Anolis sagrei: one gene and its partners. The protein of the gene in region 2 interacts with the protein of the main gene of each other region in a pairwise test. Links are inferred from orthologs where the notes say so. Each region holds a gene or a part of one and is shown on either strand. Other genes may lie near its edges.

The links.
Region 1: the proteins of RTN3 (region 2) and PTPN9 interact in binary tests that used the Homo sapiens proteins (3 or more experiments, as listed by UniProt). The two-hybrid records come from large-scale screens. The link is inferred for Anolis sagrei from reciprocal best matches to the Homo sapiens genes RTN3 and PTPN9.
Region 3: the proteins of RTN3 (region 2) and CERT1 interact in binary tests that used the Homo sapiens proteins (3 or more experiments, as listed by UniProt). The link is inferred for Anolis sagrei from reciprocal best matches to the Homo sapiens genes RTN3 and CERT1.

Annotation. Positions count from the first base shown.
Region 1 is NC_090029.1:8,641,843-8,645,602, reverse strand, and holds the start of PTPN9 (tyrosine-protein phosphatase non-receptor type 9), read left to right. Parts: upstream 1-1,639; 5' UTR 1,640-2,421; coding exon 2,422-2,454; intron 2,455-3,760. UniProt on the Homo sapiens protein: Protein-tyrosine phosphatase that could participate in the transfer of hydrophobic ligands or in functions of the Golgi apparatus.
Region 2 is NC_090032.1:17,096,207-17,099,966, forward strand, and holds the start of RTN3 (reticulon-3), read right to left. Parts: upstream 2,630-3,760; 5' UTR 2,500-2,629; coding exon 2,391-2,499; intron 1-2,390. UniProt on the Homo sapiens protein: May be involved in membrane trafficking in the early secretory pathway. Inhibits BACE1 activity and amyloid precursor protein processing. May induce caspase-8 cascade and apoptosis.
Region 3 is NC_090022.1:263,954,807-263,958,566, forward strand, and holds the start of CERT1 (ceramide transfer protein), read right to left. Parts: upstream 2,212-3,760; 5' UTR 1,810-2,211; coding exon 1,714-1,809; intron 1-1,713. UniProt on the Homo sapiens protein: Shelters ceramides and diacylglycerol lipids inside its START domain and mediates the intracellular trafficking of ceramides and diacylglycerol lipids in a non-vesicular manner.

The DNA of each region.
Region 1 (3,760 bases), on a different chromosome or scaffold from region 2:
CTTTCCCTTCCCTCTCTCCTTCTCTTCTTTTTCTCCTCTTCCTCTCCTTCTTTGCCCCTTCCTTCCTCTCCTTCTATCCCTCCCCCACCCTTTATTCCTTCCTTCTTCTTCCCTCTCTCCTTTTCCCTTTTTTCTTCCCCTTTCACTCCTTCTTTTCCCATTCCTCCCTCCTCTTTCCCTTTCATTCTCTCTTCCACTCTTTCCCTTCCCTCTCTCCTCCTCTTTTTCTCCTTTTTCTCTCCTCCTTTGCCCCTTCCTTTCTCTCCCCCTTTCATTCCCCCAGCCTGTATTCCTTCTTTCCTCTTCCCTCTTCCTTTCTTTCTCTCCTTTCTCATTCTCTTCCACTCTTTCCCTTCCCTGTCTGCTTCTCCCCTTTTTCTCCTCTTCCTCTCCTTCTTTGTCCCTTCCTTTCTCTCCTCCTTTCCCTCTCCCACCCTTTATTCCTTCCTTCTCTTTCTCTCCTCCTCCTTTCCCCCTTCCTTTCCTCTCATTCTCTCCCTCCCTCCTTCTCCTCTTTCCTATCCCCCTTTCTTTCTTTCCCTCCCTCTCGTCTTCCTGTCTCTCCCTCTTTCTTTCTTTCTCTCCTCCCTTTCTCATTCTCTCTTCCACTCTTTCCCTTCCTTCCCTCTCTCCTCCCCTTCTACTCTTCTTCCTCTCCTTCTTTGCCCCTTCCTTTCCTGTCTGTATTCCTTCCTTCCTCTTCTCTCCTTCCTTTCCCCCTTCCTTCCTTCCTCTCTCATTCCCTCCTTCCTTCTTGTCCCCTCTTTCTTTCTTTTCCTCCCTCTCTTCTTCCTGTCTCTCCCTTTCTTTCTCTCCTCCTTTCTCATTCTCTTCCACTCTTTCCCTCCCCTTCCCTCTCTCCTCCTCTCCTCTTTCTCTCCTTCTTTGCCCCTTCCTTTCTCTCCTTCTTTCCTTCCCCCAGTCTGTATTCCTTCCTTCCTCTTCCTTCTCTCCTTCCTTTCCCCCTTCCTTCCTTCCTCTCTCATTCCCTCCCTCCTTCTTGTCCCCCTCTTCCTCTCCTTCTTTTCCCCTTCCTTTCACTCCTTCTTTCCCTCCCCCAGTCTGTATTTCTTCCTTCCTTTTCCCTCTCTCCTCCTCCTTTCCCCCTTCCTTCCTTCCTTCCTTCCTTTCTCATTCCCTCCCTCCCTCCTTCTCCTCCTTCCTGTCCCCCTCTTTCTCTCTCTCCTTCCCTCCTCTCTCTTCTTCCTGTCTCTCCCTCTTTCTTTCTCTCCTCCCTTTCTCATTCTGTCTTCCACTCTTTCCCTTCCCTCTCTCCTCCTCCCCTTCTTCTCCTTTTCCTCTCCTTCTTTGCCCCTTCCTTTCTCTCCTTCTTTCCTTCCCCTAGTCTGTATTCCTTCCTCTTTTCTCTTTCTCTCCTCCCTCCTTTCCCATTTTCTCTTCCACTCTTTCCCTTCCCTCTCTCCTCATCCCCTTTTTCTCCTCTTCCTCTCCTTCTTTCCCCCTTCCTTCCTCTCCTTCTTTCCCTCTCCCACCCTTTATTCCTTCCTTCCTTCTCTCCTTCTCTTTCTCTCCTCCTCCTTTCCCCCTTCCTCTCTCATTCCCTCCCTCCCTCCTTCTCCTCCTTCCTGTCCCCCTCTCCCTCCCTCCCTTCTTCCTGCCTCTCCCTCCTTCCTTCTCTCTCTCTCTCCTCCCTCCTTCCTTCCTTTCCCTTCCTGAATGAGCCTCCCTCCCACTTGTGAATGGAGCCCAGGCAGGAGGAAGGGGCGTGGCTTGGGCTTGCGGAGTGGGCGTGGCTTAATGCCCGGGCCTGGCGTCGCCCTGCTTTGCAGGAATTTGCAAAAAAAAAGGGGAGCCATGGGTTGCAAGGGGATTGGGGGCAGAGGAAAAGCACCGCCTGGGAGGAAAACCACTGGAAGGTTATGATCGCCTGGATCCAGCCTTGGACTACACTCTCTGCCCTCCCCACTTTTTTTTGGGCCCCCAAAGGGGAAATTGGAGGTATTTTGCACCCCTTTCCCCACTGTTTTGGGGCCCTGCCCCACATATTTTCAGCAATTTTCTCCATTTGCAGCATGCATTTGACAAATTTTATATTTTCCTTGATTGCAGGAGCAAAAGCTGGGTGCAATAACTCTTTAACAACAAATAATTAATATTAATACTTTGCAAAATAATATTATTTTTTTCTGCTTTGGAAACTATATCAATAGAATATTTATTTGTAATTTTTTTTATATATGCAATGCTAAATCCAAGAAGAACTGGAAGAAGGTCCAACTTGGGGTGTTCCCACCCCCCAAAATTCAAGATTTAAAGGGACCCAGTTTTGTTTTAGTTGGTTTTTTGGCTTTTTCCTTTTGCAAAAAGTGGGAAGAAAACTCAACACAAAAAAAAGCAACACAAAAAAAAAGACTTTGGGGTCAAAGTGTTTGGGAAACTTCCACTTCCTTTGCTTGAGAAATGGCTGCAGAATTGAGCCCAGAAGAAGAGCAGGTAAGACCCAAAGGGGAGAGCTCAGTGTGTCTGGATTGAATTGTGTTGTTGTTGTTGTTGTTGTGGGCCTGCAGATTGGAAATTGGAAATGCAGGCCCTCTCTTTTCCTTCCTCCTCTCTTTTAGGCATTCTGATTTTTGCATTGCCTCTTCCACCAAGCTCCATTTCCTATTCATGTGTACAAATGTGTGTGTGTGTGTGTGTGTGTGTGTGTGTGTGTATTGTATATATGTGCACATAAATACACACATATATCACCCACCCACACATTTATAGAGGGAAAATGCCAATGTGTATGTGAATGTGCACATATATATTTATTAACTGCATTTATACACACACACACACATATAGTATATATGTGCACATAAATACACACACATATATCACCACACATATATAGTGGGAAAATGCCTATGTGAATGTGCACATATATATTTATTAACTGCATTTATACACACACATATAGTATATATGTGCACATAAATACACACACATATATCACTCACCCACACATATATAGTGGGAAATGCCTATGTGTATGTGAATGTGCACATATATATTTATTAACTGCATTTATACACATACACACATATATTATATATGTGCACATAAATACACACACATATATCACCCACCCACACATTTATAGAAGGAAAATGCCAATGTGTATGTGAATGTGCACATATATATTTATTAACTGCATTTATACACACACACACACACACACATATATAGTATATATGTGCACATAAATACACACACATATATCACCCACCCATTCATATATAGTGGGAAAATGCCAGTGTGTATGTGAGTATGCACACACATATATTTATTAACTGCATATATATATTACAATATGTAAGTGAGTGTGTGTATGTGTATATATATATATATATATATATATATATAGTATATCTGTGCACATAAATACACACATATATGCACCCACCCACACATTTATAGTGGGAAAATGCCAATGTGTACGTGAATGTGCACATATATATTTATTAATTGCATTTAATTGTGTGTGTGTGTGTGTGTGTATATATATATATATATATAGTATTTATGTGCACATAAATACACACATATATGCACCCACCCACAAATTATTTATTAACTGCATATATATATATATATATACATACACAACATACAATATGTGTGTGTGTGTATAGTATATATGTGCACATAAATACACCCATATATGCACCCACCCACACATTTATAGTGGGAAAATGCCAATGTGTATGTGAGTGTGCACATATATATTTATTAATTGCATTTAATTGTGTGTGTG
Region 2 (3,760 bases):
AAATATATAATTATATTGTTTTATTCGTATTATACTGTGTTACATTTTAATATCAATATTATAAGTGTATACAATATATTATATTATCAGCACAGCACAATATTAGTATTACATATCACTAGATTGTATGATATCACTATACTGTAATATTATTAGTAATATTACATGTAATATGAAAAATATAATTATATTGCATTATTCGTATTATACATATATAATTATATTGTATATTAGTATTATACTGTGTTACATTTTAATATCAATATTATATGTGTATACAATATATAATATTAGCAAAGCACAATATTAGTATTATATATCACTATATTGTTCTATAACACTATACTGTAATATTATATGTAATATAAAATATAAAATTATATTGTATTATTGGTATTATACTGTGTTACATTTTGATATCAATATTATATGTGTAAAATATACTATATTATTAGCACAGCACAATATTAGTATACTGTACTATACAACTATACTGTAATATTATTAGTAATATGCAATATGAAATATATAATTATATTGTATTATTGGTATTATACTGCTACATTTTAATATCAATATTATATGAGTATACAATATATTATATTATTAGCACAGCACAATATTAGTATTATATATCACTATACTGTACTATAACACTATTCTGTAATATTATTAGTAATATTACATGAAATATATAATTATATTGTATTATTAGTAATATAAATATATAATTATCGATACAACATCGATACAAAACATAATAATATATTATATTAACACAGCACAATATTAGTATATATCGCTATATTGTACTATAACATTATTCTGTAATATTATTAGTAATATTACATGCAATATAACATATATAATTATATTGTATTATTGGTATTATATTGCATTACATTTTAATATCACTGAGTATCAAATATATATATTATTAATACAGTACAATATTAGTATAATATATCTCTATACTGTACTATACAATGATATTGTACTATTATTAGTAATATTACATGTAATATAAAATATATAATTATATTGTATTATTGTATTATTATTAGTATTATACTGCGTTACATTTTAATATCAATATTATATGTGTATACAATATATTATATTATTAGCACAGCACAATATTAGTATTATATATCATTATATTGTACTATAACACTATAATATTAGTAATATTACATGTAATATGAAATATATAATTATATTGTATTATTAGTATTATAAATATATAATTATATTGCATTATTGGTATTAGACTGTGTTACATTTTAATATCAATATTATATGTGTATACAATATATATATTATTAGCACAGCACAATTAGTATTATATATCACTATATTGTACTATAACACTATACTGTAATATTGTTAGTAATATTACATGCAATATAAAATATCTAATTATATTGCATTATTGTGTTCCATTTTAATATCAATATTATATATGTATACAATATATTATATTATTAGCACAGCACAATATTAGTATATTGTACTATACAACTATAATGTAATATTATTAGTAATATTACATGCAATATGAAATATATAATTATATTGTATTATTGGTATTATACTGTGTTACATTTTAATATCAATATTATATGTGTATACAATATATATTATATTATTAGCACAGCACAATATTAGTATTATATATCACTAGATTGTATTATATCACTATACTGTATTATTAGTAATATTACATGTAATATGAAATATACAATTATATTGTATTATTAATTGCATTATTGGTATTATACTGTGTTACATTTTAATATCAATATTATATGTGTATACAATATATATTATATTATAAATAAATAAATAAATAATTAGCACAGCACAATATTAGTATTATACATCACTATATTGTACTATACCACTATACTGTAATATTATATGTAATATAAAATATAAAATTATATTTTATTATTGGTATTATACTGTGTTCCATTTTAATTTCAATATGTATACAATATATTGAAATTGTGTTATTGTATTATTGGCATTATTGTATTATTATTGTATTATTAAATTGTATTATTAGCACAGCACATGGGGAAGGGAGACATGGGGGAGTTCTATCTTCTTGGCTCCCCTTCTTCACTCTCTATTTGCCATTAATTTCTGCATCAATGCAGAGCAATACAATACCTGGCTCTGTCCCAACTGACAAGCCATTTTTGGATGTTCTCCTCCAGGTGTTTGGTGAGACTGCTTCAAAGGGGGTCGTGTGCCTTTAAGAGGGTTTCCCGTTAAGCCCCGCCCACCTCCTCCTCCTCCTCCCTCGCGCCCACCAGCAGGCTGTTCCAGCCACCCTCCCCCCGGCTGTTCCTTTCCTCAGGTCGCCCGCCCCCCGCTCCCCTTACCCGCACAGGCTTGGTGGGCTCCTTTCGCGTCTCGCCCGCCTCCCGGTTCCGAGGAGCCGCTCCCGGCAGAGGAAGAGATATACGGAGATTGGGTCGCGGGCTCAGCCATTTCGCCGGGCGGGAGGGGACAAAAAGGAAGCCTCGAGTCAACCGAGCGACCGCTCCTCTCAACGGACAGGCGCCGACTGACAGAAACGAAAAGGAGCAAGGATGGAACTGAGCATGCGCAGTAGCGCGATCAGGGGAGGAGGGGGGAACCGAGCGGGCGTGTCGCGCAGGCGCACAACGGAGGTAGGCGTGTCAAGGCGCCCTCTCGCCGAGCATTTGGGAACTCCCTCGAGCTTCTCTCGCCTGCCTGCCCTCCCTCCCTCCTTGCGCGTGCGCAGAACAAGCTGGGGCGAGGCTGGTGTGAAACCTCGCCTCAGCCTGGGCCAGTCTCGCGCGTGACTGGCCGCGCTTGTGACGTCTGCGCCTGCGCGTTCCTAGGAGGAGTAGGGATAAACCATTCTGGGAAAAAAGGGGGGAATGGGACGGGTTATGTATGGGATCTTTGAAATCAATCCTTTGATGTGTTGAAAAGAAATAAACACTCCGCAATGTCTTCATCAGCATTCTCCAAATATTATTATTTTCTTATTTACTATTAATAATTATTTTAATATTAATTAATAATTATTATTATTATTATTAATTAATATTAAATTATATTAAATAATAATAATTAATATTAATATTAAAAATATTAAATAATAATAATAATTAATTAATAGTTAATAATTATTATTATTTTCTTATTTACTATTAATAATTATTTTAATATTAATTAATAATAATTAATTATTAATTAATATTCAAATAATTATTAATGGTAAATAAGAAAATAATAATTATTAACTATTAATTAATAATTATTTTTAATATTAATAATAATATTTTTAAATATTCATTAATATTAATTAATTAATTAATTAATAATATTAAAATAATTATTAATAGTAAATAAAATAATAATATTTGGAGAATGCCGATTAAGACAAAACAATTGTGGAGTGTTTACTTCATTAATTAATCCGCAATTGTTTTGTCTTAATCAGCATTCTCCAAATATTATCATTTTCTTATTTACTATTAATAATTATTTTTAATTAATTATAATTAATTAATATGAAAATAATTATTAATAGTAAATAAGAAAATGATAATATTTGGAGAATGCTGATTAAGACAAAACAATTGCGGATTAATTAATTAATTATAATTAATAATTAATAATAATTAATAATAATAAGGGAACCCCTTTGGCACAGTGGGTTAAAGCACTGAGCTGCTGAGCTTGTTGATCGAAAGGTCGCAGGTTCGATTCTGGGGAG
Region 3 (3,760 bases), on a different chromosome or scaffold from region 2:
GTAATACTAATATACTAAATATAAGTATCATCATCCCTCCTCGCCTTTAGGAGAAGGGTGAAGACTTGGTTATGGGACCAGGCCTTTGGCCACTCCGGCAACTAAATCAGACAACCAGGCGAGTAAGACCAGCAGGATTGATGAAGTGGAACGTAAAAATAGATCTATGAGTAGCGAACGCTGACCATGTAAGAGGAGCAATTGGGTTTGTATTTGGTTTTATTGATTTTATGGTTATAATGTATATTTGTTGTTAACTGTGTATTGATGTAATTCTGTGTTTGATTGTCTTTATGATGCAGGCATCAAATTGTGCCTTTGCTTTTGTAAGCCGTCCTGAGTCCCCTTCGGGGTGAGAAGGGCGGGGTAAAAGAACCCCAAATAAATAAATAATAAATAAATAAATTACTACTGATAATATATAATGATATATTGTTTTATTATTGTATATTTTTAGTTGCAATGTTTTTGAGTCTCTGTATGGAGAGATAAAACGGGATATAAATAAATAAATTGTGGGGGTTGTAGTTTGTTGAGGCACTAGCACTATCATACAAAAAAGGGGGTAGTTAATGACGTGTAAAACTACAACTCCCTTGATTCCATCATGTGGCATTTCAAGTGGTGTCAAACTGAATTAAATCTAGACTTAATCTGTAGTACAAGGGGGGGGGGATAAAAATCTTGTAAAACTAAATAAATAAATTGTGGGAGTTGTAGTTTGTTGAGGCACTAGCAGTCTCTTACAAAAAAGGGGGGTTAACGACGTGTAAAACTACAACTCCCTTGATCCCATCATATGGCAATTCAAGTGGTGTCAAACTGGATTAAATCTGGACTTAATGTAGTAAGAGAGGGGAATAAAGATCTTGTAAAACTACAACTCCCTTGATTCTATCATATGGCAGTTCAAGTGGTGTCAAACTGAATTAAATCTGGACTTAATCTGCAGTACAAGGGGGGAGATAGAGGCCTTGTCAAACTACAACTCCCTTGATTCCATCATTTGGCATTTCAAGTGGTGTCAAACTGAATTAAATCTAGACTTAATCTGCAATTGGGGGGGGGGGGTTAAGGCTTTGTAAAACTACAACTCCCTTGATTACATCATTTGGCATTTCAAGTGGTGTCAAACTGAATTAAATCTAGACTTAATCTGCAATTGGGGGGGGGGGGGGGTTAAGGCTTTGTAAAACTACAACTCCCTTGATTACATCATATGGCATTTCAAGTGGTGTCAAACTGAATTAAATCTAGACTTAATCTGCAGGGGGGGGGGATAAAGGCCTTATAAAACTACAACTCCCTTGATTCCATTACATGACAGTTCAAGTGGTGTTGAACTGGATTAAAGCTAGACTTAATCTGCAGTACGGAGGGGGGGGGGGATAAAGGCCTTTTAAAACTACAACTCCCTTGATTCCATCATATGGTGTCAAACCGGATTAAATCTGCAGCGTGGACTTAATCCGCAGTATGGAGGGGATAGAGGCCGTATAATACTACAACTCCCTTGATTCCATCACATGGCAGTTCAAGTGGTGTCAAACTGGATTAAATCTGCAGCGTAGACGCGCCCTCTTTCGCAGCAGGACCTTCCTCCATTTCCTCTCCTCAGGTGAGGCGCCTCGACGGAGGGACACACCACAAACCTCTCATTCAGTCTGTTGCGGAAGGAAAACAGGCGCTTCTCCTCCTCCTCCTCCTTCTTACCTTACTGAGGACTCCGCAGAGTTCAACAGGCGGCCCAGACTCGGTCTCGGGATCCTCCTCGGAGCCTGAGGAATTCCAGCTTTGGTTGTCCGACATGGAGACGTCGTTGGCCGCCGCCAAAGAGCCGAGAGCGAGCGAAGCAGAGGCGGCGCTACCTGACCGACTGACACCTTCTTCTCCTTCTCCTTCTTCGAGGCCCCTTCCTTCCGCGGCCCCCTTTCGGCCACTGCCGGCAAGTGCAGCTTTCCCCCTCAGCGAGAGATTGTGGAGCCAACCATTCTCCTTCCTTCCTTTCCTTTCCTTCCTCTTCTTCCTCCTCAGAGAAGAACTGCTCCCTCCGTCGCCATCTTACTCGCCGAGCTCGCGCTATCGGCAGGCTAGACCACTCTCCGCCAAGCCCTTTCCGCGCTCGCTCCCTCCCCCTCCCACTCGGAGGGATTGCTGGGAAATGTAGTCCCTGGTTGGTTTCTTTTCCTCACTCCCTCCTCTCGTCGCTGTTCAATGCGCGGTGGCTTCTGGGAGGATTTGTGTGTGGGTGGTGAGGGGGCGGGGCCAAGCGGCGCGGGCGCAGACGGCCCAACTGTCACTCGGCTTGTGACGTAGCTCGAGGCGCGTTTCCTTTCACTTGCCTGTTGGGTTACTTCTTTCGCCCGGCCGCCATTTTGAATCGTGGAGGAGGAAGTGGTGGTGGTGATGGTGTTGGAGCCCTCTAAGGAGACTTGAGGTGTGTGGACGTTGAGGGAGCTTCGGGGCCCTTCTTCTGCCTCCTTTTTCTCAGGAAGGAGTGGCTCCTCGGTTTCTCCTCACTGTTAGGCCCGTATCTTGCTCCTCTTTGGTGGTACTGAGGGTGCAGCTACACCAGGCCTGGGCCTTCCTTCCAGGTGTTTTGGACTTCCAACTCTCACCATTCCTAACAGCCTCAGATCCCTTCCTTTTCCTCCCTCAGCCGCTTAAGCTATATAATATTTATTTATCGTGTCAGGAGCAACCCCCCCCCCCCCCCCAAAACCAGTTGTATTGCATTTTTTAACAAACAGACAAAACACAAAGTTTGCAAGCTTGGTAGTTGATTAAATGTCTTTTGACCAGTCTGTGCCCTACACCCCTGGAGAAATTACACTGTTTAGCTGGTATTGCACCACCTGACATACGCCGGGAAGTAGCAGCCAATAGTGAAAGGACCAAGGCAGAGACATCTCCAGCTCATCTGTTGTTTGGGTATCAGCCAGCACGTCAACAACTTAAATCAAGAAATCGTTTTCTAAGATCTACAGAGACACTCGCTGGAACACCTCAGCAAGCGAGAGTCCAAAAGTGGCAGGCTCAAACCCCAGAACCTCAATCAATGGCTGATATCAAATGAGAGACTCCCCCCGGAGCGGCAAGCATGTAGCGGGGGGCGAGGGGGCTTGGGGGGCTTCAGCCCCCCCCCCCCCCGAAATTCTCTTGGTGGTTCGTGAAAAGGCCTTACCGGTGCATTATTTAAACTGTTACGTTTATTCATATCATGATCTGATCACCATACTCAATATATCCCATATGCATGGGGGTATTGGGGTAACGATACAAAAGTTTTGCTAGGGTAGACTCTCTTTCACTCGAATTCAGCCCCCCCCCGAAACAAACTCAGCCCCCCCCCCCCGAATCCAAATCCTGGCTACGGGCCTGCTGAGCGCATAGAAAACTAGGCGACTTGGAAGGCGCTGAACAGACTGCGTTCTGGCACCACGAGATGCAGAGCCAACCTTAAGAAATGGGGCAACAAAGTGGAATCCACGACATGCGAGTGTGGAGAAGAGCAAACCACAGACCACCTGCTGCAACGCAACTTGGGCCACGCCACATGCACAATGGAGGACCTTCTTGCAGCAACACAATTATCTGGTTGATACTGACACGATAAATAAATAAAATACCAGTAACTGGCCACTTGGAGTGTCTCTGGTGTTACTATAAGAAGGTCCTCCATTGTGCATGTAGCAGGGCTCAGGTTGCATTACAGCAGGTAACAATATAGTACAGTTGTGCTGTGCTAATAAAATATTGT